Coturnix japonica: one gene and its partners. The protein of the gene in region 1 interacts with the protein of each later gene in a pairwise test. Links are inferred from orthologs where the notes say so. Each region holds a gene or a part of one and is shown on either strand. Other genes may lie near its edges. The genes, in order: ZCCHC10, THAP1, SFMBT1 and CEP70.

Evidence for each region.
Region 2: the proteins of ZCCHC10 (region 1) and THAP1 interact in binary tests that used the Homo sapiens proteins (3 or more experiments, as listed by UniProt). The two-hybrid records come from large-scale screens. The link is inferred for Coturnix japonica from reciprocal best matches to the Homo sapiens genes ZCCHC10 and THAP1.
Region 3: the proteins of ZCCHC10 (region 1) and SFMBT1 interact in binary tests that used the Homo sapiens proteins (3 or more experiments, as listed by UniProt). The two-hybrid records come from large-scale screens. The link is inferred for Coturnix japonica from reciprocal best matches to the Homo sapiens genes ZCCHC10 and SFMBT1.
Region 4: the proteins of ZCCHC10 (region 1) and CEP70 interact in binary tests that used the Homo sapiens proteins (3 or more experiments, as listed by UniProt). The two-hybrid records come from large-scale screens. The link is inferred for Coturnix japonica from reciprocal best matches to the Homo sapiens genes ZCCHC10 and CEP70.

What each region holds. Positions count from the first base shown.
Region 1 is NC_029528.1:1,103,200-1,106,759, forward strand, and holds the end of ZCCHC10 (zinc finger CCHC domain-containing protein 10), read left to right. Parts: exon of another isoform or gene 1-1,256; coding exon 1,257-1,521; 3' UTR 1,522-3,045; downstream 3,046-3,560.
Region 2 is NC_029547.1:47,539,711-47,544,025, forward strand, and holds the start of THAP1 (THAP domain-containing protein 1), read right to left. Parts: upstream 2,847-4,315; 5' UTR 2,806-2,846; coding exon 2,735-2,805; intron 2,545-2,734; coding exon 2,349-2,544; intron 1-2,348. Other genes in the region: transcription factor jun-D-like, read left to right, coding at 3,808-4,315. UniProt on the Homo sapiens protein: DNA-binding transcription regulator that regulates endothelial cell proliferation and G1/S cell-cycle progression.
Region 3 is NC_029527.1:488,601-492,830, reverse strand, and holds the start of SFMBT1 (scm-like with four MBT domains protein 1), read left to right. Parts: upstream 1-1,392; 5' UTR 1,393-1,510; intron 1,511-2,597; exon of another isoform or gene 2,598-4,230. UniProt on the Homo sapiens protein: Histone-binding protein, which is part of various corepressor complexes. Mediates the recruitment of corepressor complexes to target genes, followed by chromatin compaction and repression of transcription.
Region 4 is NC_029522.1:18,786,291-18,790,388, reverse strand, and holds the start of CEP70 (centrosomal protein of 70 kDa), read left to right. Parts: upstream 1-1,252; 5' UTR 1,253-1,279; coding exon 1,280-1,385; intron 1,386-1,536; coding exon 1,537-1,660; intron 1,661-1,970; coding exon 1,971-2,151; intron 2,152-2,428; coding exon 2,429-2,598; intron 2,599-3,670; coding exon 3,671-3,730; intron 3,731-4,098. Other genes in the region: FAIM (fas apoptotic inhibitory molecule 1), read right to left, coding at 501-544.

The DNA of each region.
Region 1 (3,560 bases):
TAAAATAGGTGAATTTTACTTGATCCTATGACCGTCTTCCTTCTGTAACTGACAGCAGAACCACACATTGCATCATCTGCCAACAAGTATCTGCTTGCTGCTTCTCTCATAGATGTAGCTATTGCTTTCCTCTAGGTGGAAGTATGAAGTGTTAACAGCTGATAATTCCATGAGTAGGTTTCAGGGTGCGGTGTGAATATTGAAGGTCCAAGAACTGCTTCTATGGATTCTTTGGTGTGAAGGATGACTGGGACAGGACGAAGATTAAAGTCTCTATCTGGGGATCCTTTGTCAGATTCTTGTCCATATAAATGGGTCTGAAATGCAGTGAAGCTGTTTAGATAGAAACAGTTTGCCCGGAAAATACCAAATGCCAGTTTAAAATTGTCCCTTTTTCATTCATCTTGTGACTAGTTTTACGTCAGCAAAAAGTCTGTATTTAACCAGCCATTATATCTGCACACAGGGAGAGAGAGAACTGATGGCAGATGTATTACAAAAACTTTAGTGGTTCATTAGTATTATGCTAAAGACCTTGATGTTGAGAACAGCTATCTTACTGTAAGGGCTAGAAACGGAGAACTAAATGAAGCTGCAGAGCATGCACAAATCCACTTTCCAGTGTTCCTAATGTCTTTATTCTGGACTGTTTCCACACCTTCTCTCCTACCCTGAAAACATAAGCACTGTGTAATTGTAGAAAGTTTGGCTCCTTTTGTCAGGAGTAATCTAAGAACAGTTTCCATTGAGCACAATTCTAATGTTTGTGAAATCATTGATGACATTTCCAACCAACATTTACATTGCTCATATTTCACTTGTTACAGTTCTAGGCATCCAGGCTTCGTTAATTTCTGCCTGAAGCTTTAGCAGTAGAGCACATTCATGCTTTTTCTGTGACTTTATTCTTCTGTTGAGGTAGGCCAATGAAGTTGCTAGTTGTTCCTATGAGCTTTGCCAGCTTTCACACTTATCTTTTTCCCCTGTAGTCCTGCATTCATTTTGATGTTGTATGGGACAACTTACTTCACATGCACAGTGTCATTCTGCTGTTGCTCAAATAGCCAAAATTTGTTCTTTCAGAATGAGGAGGTAGAACTGAGAGCTGGGAGGAGAACAAGGGGGGAGGGAAGTTTCCTAAGTTGTCAGGCCCAGAAATGTTCAGACCAATTAATTGATCTTTGGATTACATCAGAGTATAAAGAGCGCTCTGTCTGTAGCAGACTGTTCTCATCTGTGTATTTGTTTTCTTTCAGATCTAAAAGTATAACAAGTTCCAGCAGCAGCAGCAGTGACAGTTCGGCTAGTGATTCCTCATCTGACAGCGATGACTCTTCTACCTCCTCCTCTTCTGATAGTGACAGTGATGAGAGCTCCTCTACATCCTCATCTTCTCCATCCTCGAGTAGTACTTCCTCATCTTCGGAGTTTGAATCAGATTCCAGTTCCTCCAGCAGTAGCAGTAGCAGCACAGACAGTAGTTCTGATGATGAGCCACCAAAGAAAAAGAAGAAGAAATAATGTGTTACAGCAAAGAACTGTTATTGAGTGAATTATAGAGGTTTTGAGCACATGGTTGCCAAATGGTTTAACTGGTCAACATTTCTACTGCTAAAACTTTCTAAATGTTCTGTGTAGTTCATAGGACATGAAAGATAGCAAATGGCACGTGAAACTTACTGAAAGAGTATTTTTGAGGTTTATCATTTTATGGGAGATCTTACTTTTTTTAGTTTAGATGTCTATCATCAGATTTGTTTCTATGAGCTAAGGCCCAGTAACCTGGATGTTTACATGCTGGAAAGCAAAATCTTTTTATTGCAGATCATGCCGTGCATCGTATACTACTAGTCTGTTTATGGCAACTTCACTTACATTTAGAAAATCCTCTGAACTATTAGAAGCAACTGCAGCACTGCTGCCTGTAGTGCACTGTCACTGTTGAAATGGAACTCGTGGTGTTGCACACAGAGGACCTTCCATCTCACTGCTAACTAATATGTGCCGCTGAGCTTTTTTTCTGGTGGCTTTCCCTGATGCTTCCAGGTTGAGTCTTAATTGCAACATAAACCTTTCAACAGCGTTCATTTGTTAATGATGAATATACTACTTGTACTGTACAGAGGCTTTGCCTGTTTCCACAGTCCTTGTATTTGTAGTACTTTTCCAAGATGGTGTCTCTTGCAGCAATGGCCGTGTAAGAAAGAGGAGCAGTGCACGATGGAAGGATTGACTGATGCTGCGTAGGAGTTTCATCTTTGTGCCTTTTTTTTGTAAACCACATGTATCCTATTGAAAGAAGGGCTTGAATAGGTGTGTTTCAGAACTATTAGCTTTCAATATAGAATAGTCAGTAAAAATGGTAGTAGCAAACAAAAATGGCACTATTTTTCAGAGAGAGGAAGGCTGTTTTCACTGACCTATCAGTGAGGAGCCGTCTTTAAATGGAATTCCCAAAGGAGGGAGTTTCCCTTTTGATATTTTTGCAAAAAAAACTCAGAAGTTGTGTAATGTAAGACTACCAGTCTGTGTTGTTGGCATGTGGTGACTGGCGTTATGGTCTGCAGTATGATCAGTCCATTGTCTGTGTGAGTGCATACGAATCTGAAAATCTGCAATGAGGGATGCAAACCAATGCAAAGAAGTGTACTTTGTACAAGTATACTAAGTGTACTGCAGAACAATTACTGCCAGTTACAGAGTGAAACTTTGGTGTTCTTCTGGTGGGCTTGACCAGTCAGCATTCACCTTCTGATTTGTGATGTTGTCTCCTGCGTTTCTTATTGTTGGAGTTCCCTTTTTTTGGGGGGAGGGGACATCACACGTGGAAGAATTCTTAAATATCTTTGTTTAGGTAAAATATAATAACTAAACTATTTTTTATATTTTTATGGAGAATGTAGTGTGTAGTATTACTTTTGAATAAACTGTGCTTCTATTTAAATGTTTGAAAATATATATGTTGTGTGTTTTAGTCTGTAATCATTACTGTGTTTTACAGAACGCCGCAGACCTGTAAATAAAATGACCAGAAAATTGTTTGAAGTCTTCCTTAGTGAATGTACTATTTAATGGGAAAAAGTTAATGAATTATTAAATGGTGTTTTCTAGGCTCACGCTTAATGGCAGTCAAAATGTGCTACAGTAGTAAAGTGTGGAAGAGGTGGTGGTGCTGGGAGGGGGGAAAGGCATTTAAGAGTTGTATTCTTAGAGATGACCCTAATCCCAGCCCTGTGACAGCTCTGGCAAGCTGTGATGACTGAAGCAGGTTGTTAGGAAGCTTGCAGCCCTGACTTCTGCTGTAAGGGCACAGCGGGAATGGGGCACTGCTGGAAGAGGGATGTGATGCCCATTTTCATGGAGATCATGTGCAGGGGATGAAGGTTTTCATTTTGGGTGGCACTGAGGAGCTGAGTTACAGTAGCAGCACTTTGGATGGAAGGGGGACTGTGATGAGGAGCAGCAGTTAATTAGGAGGGAGGGGACAAGGGATCAAGTCTGAATTACCTTTGCCACCCTATTAAGACCTTGTTGTATGTTTGTTTCTGTAATCTGTAGTG
Region 2 (4,315 bases), on another chromosome or scaffold:
ACAACTAGGACTGACCATCACATTGTTTTGGGATCGCAGCAGAAGGGTTTGGTGATGTGATGAGCCAAAATAAACAGCTCTCCCAGCTCTGTTATGAATCCTTCCCTAAATACAGGATGTTGCTAAGATGACAGAAAGCTATTCACACTTCCACCATCGCTGCAATAAAGTTCTGTCCTGCATTAAAGTCAAAGCCATGCAGTGAGAGCTGTCATATGGAAGGAGTAAGAAAATAGGACTGGGTGGCTGGCAGATGGGATAGAGCAGAACACTAAGCGAGCTCATTCCCACATCATACTGCAGGCTTCACCATACTGCTCCAGATAGGTTCAGACACTTGCACGGTTCAGAACAATGCATACCTGTCATCACTTGGGAGGAGGTCAAAGAGAATTCTGATTATTCTGCCCCAGAGGAACATACTTTATTCAGAAATGCACACATAATGTATACTACCCGTTTAAAAAAAAAAAAACAAAAAAAAAACCAAAAAAAACCCAAAAGCCTAAGAATGTCTCAGTGAAAGAGACACTGAAACCGATTTTTTAATTCCCTGTCCCCAACATTATTACTACAAATAAAAGCATGAAGATGATCGCATCTTCAATTTTAACAGCCACCAACTGTCCCCTCTTGAGACTGGAAGATCACATTATTAAGCTTCTTGCCTTAACATAAAGAACAAGTCAACAGTCAGATTGGGAAGTACAGATGTCATCCTTGTACAAACTACATTAGGCACAGGAACTGAGAACACAGTTCCACTTCTGGTACTGAGGGGAAGTTTCACATTGCTCAGGTATTACTGATCACTTTAAAGTACAAAACCAGCCCACTGCCTGTGTCAGTTCTCAGTTATAAGAAGTGGATGCTCCAGGTGTGTCCATCTAAATCACATACCAATATTCTAAAATGTCTGACCTACAGCTTTCAAACTTTTCAGCTAAGATGACAAACCAAAGACATAATGTGCAGAGAGAATTCTGCCCATGTTAGAAGCACGAGCAAAAATGGCATTGTTGCCAGACAGCTGCATTCAGACAGAGGCATGTATTCAAGAGCTACGCAGCACATGCTGTGTTACTGCTGTCACTGTGTGTCACAGAGAGCTCATCGTTCATACTGCTCACACGTCACAAGTGAGTTCTTATTCCTTCTTACATCCAGTAAATGGTTGTCAGACATAGCTAAAAAAGTATTTCAAGAATTATGATGCAAAAAATGCTGTATCTCAAAATCAGTATGAATTTAAAAAAAATGCTGTCCTTATTCACTACTATTCAATGTCTTGAAGATACACTGAAAGCTGCTGTGACATAAATAGTAGCACCACCAACTCCTTTTCCATAAGGAGCCACTGTTCTGTGCACTCATAAAGCCAGGTACTGCAATGAATGAGAGAATGTGGCTCAGAACTACTGCATTGATGTCAATATTAAATACCTTCAGCTTTCACACTGCAATAAGTTTTGCAAACAATTTTAAGTGACATAGGAAATATGTTGCTAAGATTGTGGGGAACCGTCATCAAACAGATCTTAGCACAAAAAGCAGACCTGAAAATGGTCCACATTTCACTTTATACCTTGTGCTATGTATGGTCTCTTGCCTATTATTTCCACTTTTCATTTTCTAGATGTTCCTTCTTTATTTCTGCATTAAATCGAACATTGTATACTGTGTGGAAAAATACAGATGATGCCCTGAGCATGAGAAAGGGTTTATGTTAGCTCTGGAACACAAGTAAACTGCCTAAATATGTTCAATATTCAACAGACAGGCACTAGTTTTATATATTGTCAGTGGTGGCCAACACATACTCTGGAAGATCAAGAAAAGTGGCTAGCAGATGGTGCTCTGAATTATAACACAATTTTGCAGTTAATGCTATTTTGTAGGAGGCTGGACTTTTTGGGTTCTTTCACAGGGGCATCTGGATAGTCCTACCTGTAGCCATGACTTAATAGCTCTGGACCTGGCTAACTAGAACAAGACACCTGATGTGAAGCTATAACATTATGCTGATGATTTAATACTAGCCTCTGCAACTCTATCTGCAATAAAGAACACAGCAAGCACTGTCTTCTGATTTACAGGAGAAAGAATGGGCCATCAGTCCTGAAAAGTCCCAGGGCCTTGTATTATCTGTCATATTTTTGGGATGGTCTGATTGTGAACAATCAAAGCCCTACCCAGTGCAGTTAACACCCAGATACAAATGTCAGCCTGCAGTTGTTACAACAGGACAGCACCAGTAACACAACTGCAGTGATGACAAATGGCCTTAATGACAGGAGAAGCTGCACAGTGCATTTCGGCACCTGGGGCTGTGAGCAGTGTGCGCTTACCTTTTCACTGGGCTCAGTGTAACAGAATATAGTGGGCACAGCATTTTCTTTCAGCAGCTTGTTGTTGCACTCCCGCTTGAAGCAGTCGGGCGTGAAGTGCTCGGAGCAGATGCTGCTGTACTTGGTGGGTTTGAAGTTTTTCCTTTTCACCGCCGCCTCCCATTTCTTGCACAGGTCAGGCCTGGTCAAAGGAAACCTGACAACAACAGCTATTTTCAGCGTTTCTCAAACTCTTTATTCACGCCGGGCCCACCATCCCAGCCCCTCTCCCGCCGCCCAGCGCCCCCTTGCGTCGGGAGGTCGCACACCCGCGGCCCTGTCCCCGCCCTGGCGCCCTGCCCGCCCCGCCCCGCCCCGCCCCACCCCGTCCCGCCGCCCGCGCTCACTTGTGGAAGGAGATGGGCTTCTCTTTGTCGTATCGGTTCCGGCAGCGGTAGGCAGAACACGACTGCACCATCCCGCCGGCCCCGCGGCCGCCGCCGCCCAGCGGCGCGAGGAGGGGCTCCCAGGTGCCGTCCGCTCACCGTGGGGCCGCCATCGTGCCCCGTCCCCCCCCGCCGGTGACCCTCCGAGAGGGACGGCAACGGGACGCGGCCTCTCCCAACTCCAAGATGGCGGCACCAGCTTCAGAGCAACTCTCGCGGTGCTACGGCGCGCCGCCCTTGCCCATTGGTGGGTCCTCTCATGGGGGGCGGGGCCTCGGGAAGCAGATCGTCCAATCGGAGCGGCGCTCTGCCTTGCTCCCGCCCCTCGCTCCGGAACTACCTCAGGGGCAGCTGCGGCGCGGCGGCAGAGCGCCCCCAGGGCGGGATGGGGTGCGGGTGTGTGTGGGCTGCTGGGCCCTGCTGAGGTGTTAGGGTGAGCTAACAATACACCGACGCGATGGAGTACAAAAAGTTAACGCGGAGTGCGCTCCGCCGTACCATTCCCTGTATTACACCAGCGACTAACAGCAGCGGGCCGTTCCCCCGGAGCGCCCCATGTCCCGATCTCGCTGTCCCGTGCGGGGCGGGCAGCGGGCGCTGGTGTCGGGAGCAGGGGTGCGGGCAGCGCCCTATGGCGCACCCACAGCGGGAGCAAAGGGCAGGAGCCGCGCGAAGCAGCTCCAGGATGGGGTCCGGAACCCCTCAGAGACACAGGATGGAGAGAAGGGCAATAAGCCGGTCTATAAGCGAGCGCCGAATTCGGAGCGCGGCCCCTCGCGGAGCCCCGCGCAGCCCCTCTGAGCCGGGGGCCGGCGGCGGGGAGCTCGGGGGAGGCGGCGGCGTTGGGGCGGGCAGACGGCGGGACCGGGGCGGGGCGTGGGGCCGGTGGCGCCGGGAGGCGGCTCAGTCCCCGCTGAGAGCCGAGGGTTGCGGGCCCCCGCCGAACGCAGCCGCGCCGCGACACACAGCCGCCGCCGCCGCAGGGCGGGCACCGGGGAGCGCCGCGCCGCGCCGCGCCCCGGCCGGCCGGCAGCATGAGCGGCGGGCGGAGCGGGAGAGCCGCCGTGAAGATGGAGGCGCCGTTCTACCCCGAGGAAGGGCTGGAGCTGCTGCCCGACTTCGTGCCGCTGCCGGGTTTCGCCGCCACCGCCACCGCAGGACCCGGCGCCGAGGCGGCGGCGGGCCCGAAGCTACTGCTGGGAGCCGGGAAGAAGCGCGACCTGCCGCCCGCCGCCCCCTCGCCGCTGCCCGGGCCCTTCGCCCTGCGCCCGCCCGGCAGCGCCCGCGGCAGCGCGGCCGCCCTGCGCCTGCTGCCGCCCTCCGCCGCTCCCCCGCCGCCCCCGGGCTCGGCGCAGGGCTCGGCGGGGGCCGGCGCCGGGGCGGCGGCGAACCGCGGCGGACCGGAGGCCGCGCTGGGCTCGGCGGCGGAGCTGCCGTTGCTGAAGCTGCCGCCGGCCGCCGACCTGGAGCAGCTGCTCATCCAGGGCGGCGCGGGGCTGGGGCCCGGCAGCCCGGGACCGGCGGCGGCCGGGGGAGCCGGCG
Region 3 (4,230 bases), on another chromosome or scaffold:
AATCAAGAAAGCAAACTCAAGGAGCTGAAGAGAAATGTAATTCCACTGTAATATTAGAATCCAAATCTATCCAGGAAGCCTGACCTGGTCATTTCAACCATTTCACCTTTTTGGAGATAAAGCGAAGCAAATCCTTCACACAACTTCACATTCTTCCAGCAAAAAGTCACTGCTTCCTTAAGCACACGTGAGCACACTTAGAACAGCCTTAACCTACATCTGGAAAGTCTTCAACTATGAAAAGAAAGGCAGAAGGTGGCAAGTGTTGTAATGGCCAACAAATGAAATATGAGGGCACCCTATCCCACAGGGAAGGTGTAGGGTGCTGTAAAGCTGCTTTCTCCTAATAGGGGCATCATTATACCATTATCATAGAACTTCCAGGGGTAGCTTCTGCTGGTGGGCTGGAGAGAGAAAATACTTTTACCTTCCCCTTTGCAGAGCAGCTTTTAGGCTCTGTGAAAGTTCATGTGCTTTTATCTCCAGCTTCGTGCAGAGGGACTTAGAAAAGGAGCAGGAGTCCAGCCCTGAAGTGCCGGGCTGTCTTCAGGCTCAGCTCGAGGCCTGTGTCACTGCATCTGTGACTTGTTTCCTTTACAGAAAGGGTTCAGCCTTCTGTCATTATTCAAGTTAAGTCAGCCTTCATCTCACCGTGCTGCACAGCCCGGCTCTCAGCCTGTCCTCACAGGGAGCTGCTCCATCCCTCGGCTCATTTTTGTGACCCTCCTGTGGATGCGACCCAACAGGTCGGTACCGCTCCTGTACCGAGGATGCCGTACTCCAGGCGGGGGCTCAGCAGCGCAGAGCAGAGGGGCGGGACCCCTCCCCGGCCCTGCCGGCCACGCCGCTTCTGCTGCGGCCCAGGACAGCCGGTTCCTTCATAAATACCCACTCCTGTCCCATTTCCTTAACGCGACGCAGCGACGGGGATCCCGGAACCCCCGTCCCGCACGGCGAGACCCCCCTCCAGCGGACGGCCCGTGTGCGGAGCTGTGTGCGGAGCTGCGGGGTGCTGCGGGATGCTGCGGGATGCTGCGGGGTGCTGCGGGATGCTGCGGGAGCTGCGGGATGCTGCGGGATGCTGCGGGGGCGTGCGGGATGCTGCGGGTGCTGCGCGGATGCTGCGGGAGCTGCGGGATGCTGCCGGGAGTCTGCGCCCATCGCTGCGCCAAGGAGCCCTTCCTCCGGGGGCGAGCGGAGCTTCTGTCGCCCATGGAAGGTCCGCCCTGCAGCCGTGGGTGCTCCCGCCGTTGGCGTCCCGTCAGCGGCCGCAGCAGGTGAAGGGGGCAGCGGGCGCAACGTGGGGCGGCGGCGGATCGGGAGGGACCCGAGCGCCGAAAGCCGCCGGGGAGGGGAGGGGAGAGCAGGGGGGAGGGAGGGGGGTGGGGGGGGAGAGGCAGCGGCGGGCGCATGCGCTCTGCCGGGCCGTGCCATATTGGAATGAGGCGGCGAGCGGAGCCGGGGAGCAGGAGCCCGGGCAGCGGCGGAGGGCTGGAAAAACTCCCCGCAGGTGAAGCGGGGGGTGGCGGCGCACAGCGGCGGGCGGAGCGGGACGGCCCGCAGCTGGTGGGGGCGTTTTGCCGGCGGAGCGCGGGGCACGAGGGGTTTTTCCGGGCTCCCGAAGTTTGGATGCGGGGAAAAAAAGGCGGCGAGGGAGGAGGAGGAGGGAGGAGAAGGAGAAGGAAAAGGAAAAGGGAGGAGGAGGAGGAGGAGGAGGCGGCAGCGCGGCGCGGCGGCAGCGCGGGGGGAGCAGCGCCCGGGCACTGCGCGCAGCGATGCGCGGGGCGGCACGACGCGCAAGTGCCCGCGCGCAACTCGGCGCGCTCCCGCTGAGCCCCGTCCCGCTGTGTGTGAGCCCCGGTAACCCACAGCTCTGAGCCCCGTTAACCCACGGCTGTGAGCCCCATCCTACTGTTAACCCCCGTCCCGCTGTGAGCCCGGCCCCGAGTTGCGCTGCCCGCCCCGCGGGAACTTTGCGCGCCCCGCGCTCGCGGTAGATCCGAACCCGTTGCGCGCTCGCCCCTCTCCCGTTCAAGATGGCGCTGTTGGGGGACCTTTAAACGCCGCTCCGCTCCGCGCCGCTCCGCACCCCCGCCCGGCCCGGCCGTGCCCCGGCTCTACGTCCCGCCCTGCTGCCGCCGTCGGGCGGAGCGGAGCTGCGCGGCCGTTCCCGGGGCCGCTTTCCGCAGCGCCGCCGCGGGGCCTGCGCGTCCGCGTCGTGTGCGCGCCCGGCGCTGCGCTGCGCTCGGTTCCGCTCCGTTCCGCTCCGTTCCGCTCCCCGCGGCTCCGGCCTTTGTCCTGCGGAGCCGCTGCGCGCGGCCGGGCCGGGCCGGGTCCCGGGGATGCGCGGCCGGGCGGGGCGGGGCGGGGGGAGCGGCCGGGCGAGTTCCCGAAGTTGGGACCTCGGCTCCGCCGGGCGCGGGGGAAACAGCGGCAGGAGCGCGGCCGGGCGGCGTCGGTGGCGGCGTCGGTGGCGGCGTCGGTGGTGGTGGCGGTGTCGGTGCTGCGCGATCCCGCCCCGTTTGCTGAGCGTTGGCCGGCGGTGCCGCTTCGCTGCGCGTTACGGAGCGGCGGAACCGCCCGCGGAAACTTGTTGCCGCCGTAGCGGGGCTCAGTGCGCGGAGCTCAGTGCGCAGAGCGGCTCCGTCCGCCCGGGGATGCGGCACCTGCCCCGGGACCCGCCGCGAGTTGCGCTGTGCGGGACGCGCTCGGACGGCACCTCGCGGCGGTACCGGTCCGACCCGCGCGACGGCTGCGGCCGGGGGTTTGGAGCCGCTGTCCCGGCACCGGGGAAACCGGTGCGGGCGTGAGAACGAACCGACTGTCAGTGAATTGCGCGTTTTCTGCGTGGCTGTCATTGCTGCCGTGCGGTTTGTACATAAAGGAGCGAGCGGGCATCCGTCCGTCCGTGCGATCGGCTGCAGGAGCGCTCAGGGGCTTCCTGCCCTCACTCAGCCATTTCCTCTTTTACTTTTGCTTTGCGAATCCGTGCTGTGATTGAAGGGCGGCGAGAAGGAGACCTGCTGCTTCCCGGAGCTGCCGGCTCCCGAGCGAGGGGAGGCTCCGCTGCGCTTCTGAGCCGCGCTGGGTTGGCCGTGCAGGGCTGTGCTGCGCGCTGCCATCTCTGGGCCGTGCACTGGCACCGGGTGCCGGGCGCTGTGTGTGCGGGCAGCAGCCGGCACCGCATCGATCCGGGCGGTTCTTCCTTCGCAGCTTTTTCCCCCTTTGCTCGTAATTTAGCGCCGCTGAACGAACGCGTGTGGTGGCTTGACCCGGCGAGGCTGTGAGTGGTTGGAGATGGTGTGAGGAGCACGTTTGGTGGCACGTTGTGTCGGGTGCCTTGTTACGCTGCCCCGAGGTATAACAGCCCTGATCGCAGCCTTTGCCGTGTGCGCTGCGCGCTGCTGCCCGGGCTGCAGGCATCGCCCTCGGGGGGCTGTGCGGGCACCGCGCAGTGACAGCAGCGCTGAGCCGGGAGAGCTGGGAAGCGTTTGGTGAGGGCGGTTCTGTTGGGGGCTGATAGTGCAGAAACAAAGTTGCGTTCGTGTAATGGTTCTTTTCATTTAATGATGCGCTTTGACTGACTTGAATCCCTCGTTTTTTTCCAGTGCCCGATTTTCTCTATACTGATAAACCCTATGAGAGAAGCAGATGGACTTTAGCTATTGTTTATTTGATTTTAAATTGGTTTTGGTTCCAGGAGCGTATTACAACAGGCAGACACGCTCTCACGTGTACTGCTTGTTTTCATTTTTCATCCCAGTCTCTAGTTCCAAATGTGCCCCTGTTCACACATGAGGTGCTGAGCTGTGCTGGTGGTTGCTGTGAGCCCAGAACAGTCCTGTGGGATGTGACCTGTGCAGGGTAAGGGGTGGGACACGGAGCTGCCACTGCCTGCACGTCCTGCAGCATCGTAGGCCGTGCTGTCTTGTTCCAGGACTAACTCTGTTCGTTGCTCTTCAGGGCATTGCCATGAGTGCAGCTGATGCCCTCAGAAATAAGGGAAGTCGGGTTCAGTTGGAAACATCACATACCTGGCACTGATTACCCAGCTGGACAGAACTCATTAACTCCTTTTAAACCAAGGCAGTGAGTGCGGACCTGAAAGCCCTCCCTGCTTTCGGAGCACTTTTCCTCCTGTACTTACAGAACAGAACTGAGAACTGAAGTCTGTTTACGTCTTAAATGGTGCATTTGTTCAACTTCTTAAAAATAGGTTTGAGGGACGGG
Region 4 (4,098 bases), on another chromosome or scaffold:
GTCATAAGTTTACACAATTACTTGCACGTTCTTGCTTTTAAAATCATTCAAATATGACAAAACATCACAAAAGCAGGCAGGTAAGCAGGCTCGCTCTGACAAACACCATACAAAGATATATACCCATCCAAACTCCGGAGCTTCCAGTTCAGGGGGCAGTATAGTTTAAAACTGTACTTAGGATTCAGATGTTCCTTGCGGGTAAATTTAAGCAGGCTTTAAAATGCAGCATTTCATTTGCTCTCTGAGTAACCCCTTCAGCCTTCTGAACTTGAGAAGTAGTTGTAACAGATAAGCTCATCACCTACTGATTCTAGCAGAAATATTACCTACATCATTTGGGAATGCAACTCTGCACACACAAACACACACAGGGAAGGAGACTGGAAAAGATATCCTTCCATTTAGAACACGTTTAATGTTTGGTACAGCCATAAGTGACCACGGCAGTGGGGGATATCTTTCCAAAGGCCGTACGGGCTGCAGCTCTGCTGTTTTACCTTACTTCTTCTTCACTGAGGGTAACCTCCTCGCGGGATGCCATAGTAAACAAAGGGCTTTTAATCCAACCAGCAGCAAGAAAAGAAGAAAAGCAGGATAGCAGCTAGGAATGCTGAGAATGGATGGAGTTATGACTAACGGATTTGTTTGCTGTGACACAAACATCATTTTCCGGACACAAACTGGTTTTGTGTAAGAGCACGAATGACGAATGAAGAGCACGGCTGTCCTGTAACCACATCTCTCCCTTCAGCTGTGAGGGAACCACACACCCGCATTCCATGAGGCTCAGCACCAACACCAAAGCCACCAACCAGGACTCAAACCGCCTCCAACATCCACTCAGGCCCCTGAACTCGTCCTACAGCGAGTTTACAGCCACAGCCTTTATTTCTGCATTACTCCGCGACGTTCCCTCCCCCATCACTCACTGCCATCCTCACAACCCCTCACACCCACACCCCCCCCTCCTACCCGCCTGCCCCGCTCCGGCCGCGCGGGTCCCTCCTCCCCTCCGCCTCAAGATGGCGGCTGCCCGCCTCCCCGCGCTGACCGTTACCGCCCCACGGCTCAGAGCCCGCCCTCATCGCCCGTTCGGCCGCTTACTTTCCTTGCCTGCTCTTCCTTTCCCTTGGCGGCTCAATATGACGGAAGTATCGCGGTAGTGACACAAAAGGGCGCCGAAGCAAAGCAGAGCGTGTCCGGCTCTTCAGAAAGCACAAATTCGGCTCACTGCATCCATTTCCCCTTCTACCCGGAGCGTCAGCGTGCCTTTTGCATGCCTCAGGTTTCTGCCTCTTCCCAGCTTCAGCAGGAGGAAACGGAATGGGAGACCCTCAACACGCTGCTGTTACGCCATGGAATGGTGCCCATAAACACCCCAGGTAAGGAGTGCTGGTGGTGGAGGTCCTTGGGCAGCAGACATGAAGTCATGAGGTGCTGCTGAAGCCATCGGTTCCATACAGTAACGGTGATGCCATCTTCAAGTACCAAAAGCTTTTGGTTAAGGCGTTGTTTTATGATGTGTGCTTCCAGATGTGATTGCTTTGGACAGTCAGGCCTCTCTGGGAATAAGACTTGCATTAAAAACGTTATTGGAAGACACCGACCGACAACAGAAGATGATGTACGGGCTTATGGAGACTAATCGTAATCTTAGGTAAGGTGCTGTGAAGGGAATTTGCAGGTAGTGCAAAGCAAAAAGCACTATTGCTGCCCGTTTTCTGTCACATCCAAAGCCAGAGACCTTTTTCTTGAGACTTTTGTGCTATATGCAGCAATATTGGCCCAGATCTCCTTGAGCTGTTGTCTGAACTGCATCTGCTCTTGCTTCCCATAGTGGCATATTTCCTGTGCCTGCTGCTGCAGGCTGTTACTGGGCACCATCGGATAATATTTGCCAGGCCTGTGCTTCTTGCAGTGCATTTAGTGAAATGAGTTTAATTTAAATCAAAGATTTGTGTTTCTAGAGATGAGGTACGACAGGAACGAGGTCGGGCATCTCGACAAGAGGAAAGGGCTAATGAATTGGAAAACGTGGTGGAAAGCATTAAGGCAAAAATCCGTCAGCTGGAAGATGAGACAATAGCTAAAGTTTGCCGGCAACAGAATCAGGTCAAAGAACTTCATAAAGAACAGATGGATTCACAGGTAAGTCAGTCTGCAGCACTCAAACTTTTGACTTCTTTTGAAAGCTCACATTGGTCCAAATAAATACAAGTCTCATGTCAAACTTCATATGCTATTTGTAGCTGATTTTATGTTTTACAAATAATTTTCTAGTAATAAATTGGAAAAAATATATGAACCCTTCTTCCACTGGCTGTTTGATTAAGCTTTCTTGGGACCAAGCACCAAGTGTGGGTTGGTGGAGCACCATCTCCAGCCTGTGAGTTCAGTTCAGAATGCTCCTGTTATCTCTTCACAGGCAAAATACCAACAGCAGCAGGAAAAGCTGCAAGAACAGGAGGAGATTATTGCCCGTTTGCAGAGGGAGCTGTGCAAAGCTGGGCTGGAGGAGCAGCAGCGTGTTGCCACTCAAACCGAAATGTTCTGCCGGTTTTGCAAGAGAGCTCCCAAGTCCCTTCTAGATCAGCAGTAAGGAATTTTGTTATATTGGTGAATGACTTGTAACATTAAATGAATAAATGGATTTTAAAGTGACGGTTCTTGATACTTACATGGGAAAAAAAAAACAAGTTGGAGATGTTAGTGCAAGCTGAATGAATGCATGGCAGAAGGTAAAAATTCTCGGCCTCTGTATCCACTAGGTGTCAGCAAAGAGGGCGGAATGGCTTATTCTGGAAACTGCATCTGCTACAGTGATTTTGTTCTGGGACTTGTAACGTTTAGAATGTAAATTTAAATAACAAAGCAAAAAAGCAACAACAACAAAGACAGCTCGGGAAAACAGCTTTTGTGACTGCTGACTGCAAGCAAACTCCAGGCACTTTGTGCATGTTCTGAAAGCCTACATGTCCTGCAGTAACTCTGTTTTTCAGCTATAGTCAGAGACAGCTGACAGCTTCTAGGCCTCAGGTGGCTGTTGCCTTACTGTGCTGGTGTGGCCTGGTCCATCCAGGTCTGCCTAGGATGTTTACCTAGGAGAAATTTTAGAGGGATTGTGTGCCTCTCTCTGTTTCTTATGCCCTCATTAAACAACAAAAAAAGAAGCTCTGAGATTCGTTCCCTGACATTTCTCACCTGTACATACAAAACAGAAAATCTCAGAGTGGTTCAAAAGGAAATGCTGTTTCTCACCTATACGTTTTTCTATGGCTTTATTTCCTTGCAGCCATTTCCTTAGAAAGCACTTGTAGTTTCTCTGGAAGTTCTTAGGCTGTGTGTGACCTGTTCTGTTATATCACCTCCAATGGTCCGTGCAGCCCTACAGCTTAAGACTGTGACAGCTTGTTAAGCTTGCTGGGTGAACATAGCCATGAGATGTAAGGGCTGTCAGGAGGATTTAGCTTTTGTCTCCTCTTGAGTCATTTTGCCACTTGTAATCTAATAGGCATTTAATGTCTCTATATTTCTTTTTTTGGAAAACTGCGACTGATATAAGGGAGAAACAGTCACTTTTAAAATACAGTGTAGCTGTGTAAGCTATCCTGTTCCAATAGATTGGTAACTATATCTTAAGTTCAAAATACCATTTTTCCTTTTTCAGGTTTCTTTGTCTAATCGATTATTATGAATCTCAAATTAATCAAATGAAAAAGGAGCTACGGTGAGTCTCATCTAATGCCTTGTGGTCCTACTGCTAAAAGTTTTCTTTCTCCTTGTTGTTCTTAAAGCTTGGAATGGCAAATGTTCTATTTTCTAGATGTCACTAAAACATAAGAAACAGCCAAACACTGTAATAGTCTTGGAAGTTTGGATTAATCCTGGAAATTTCTCTCAGTCTGAGCAGCTGCGCAGTCAGGCCATACAGCCAGGAGGGCATTGTATTTAGACACATGAGCTATAATCCTTTGTTTGTTTTTCGGCTTTCCCTTTTGTAGAGGTTTACAGGCAGCACTACTGCATTAGCTATGCACAATTCACCCGTTTCCTAAAAAGAAAGAAGGAAAAATAAAAAAGAAATACCAGCTTCTC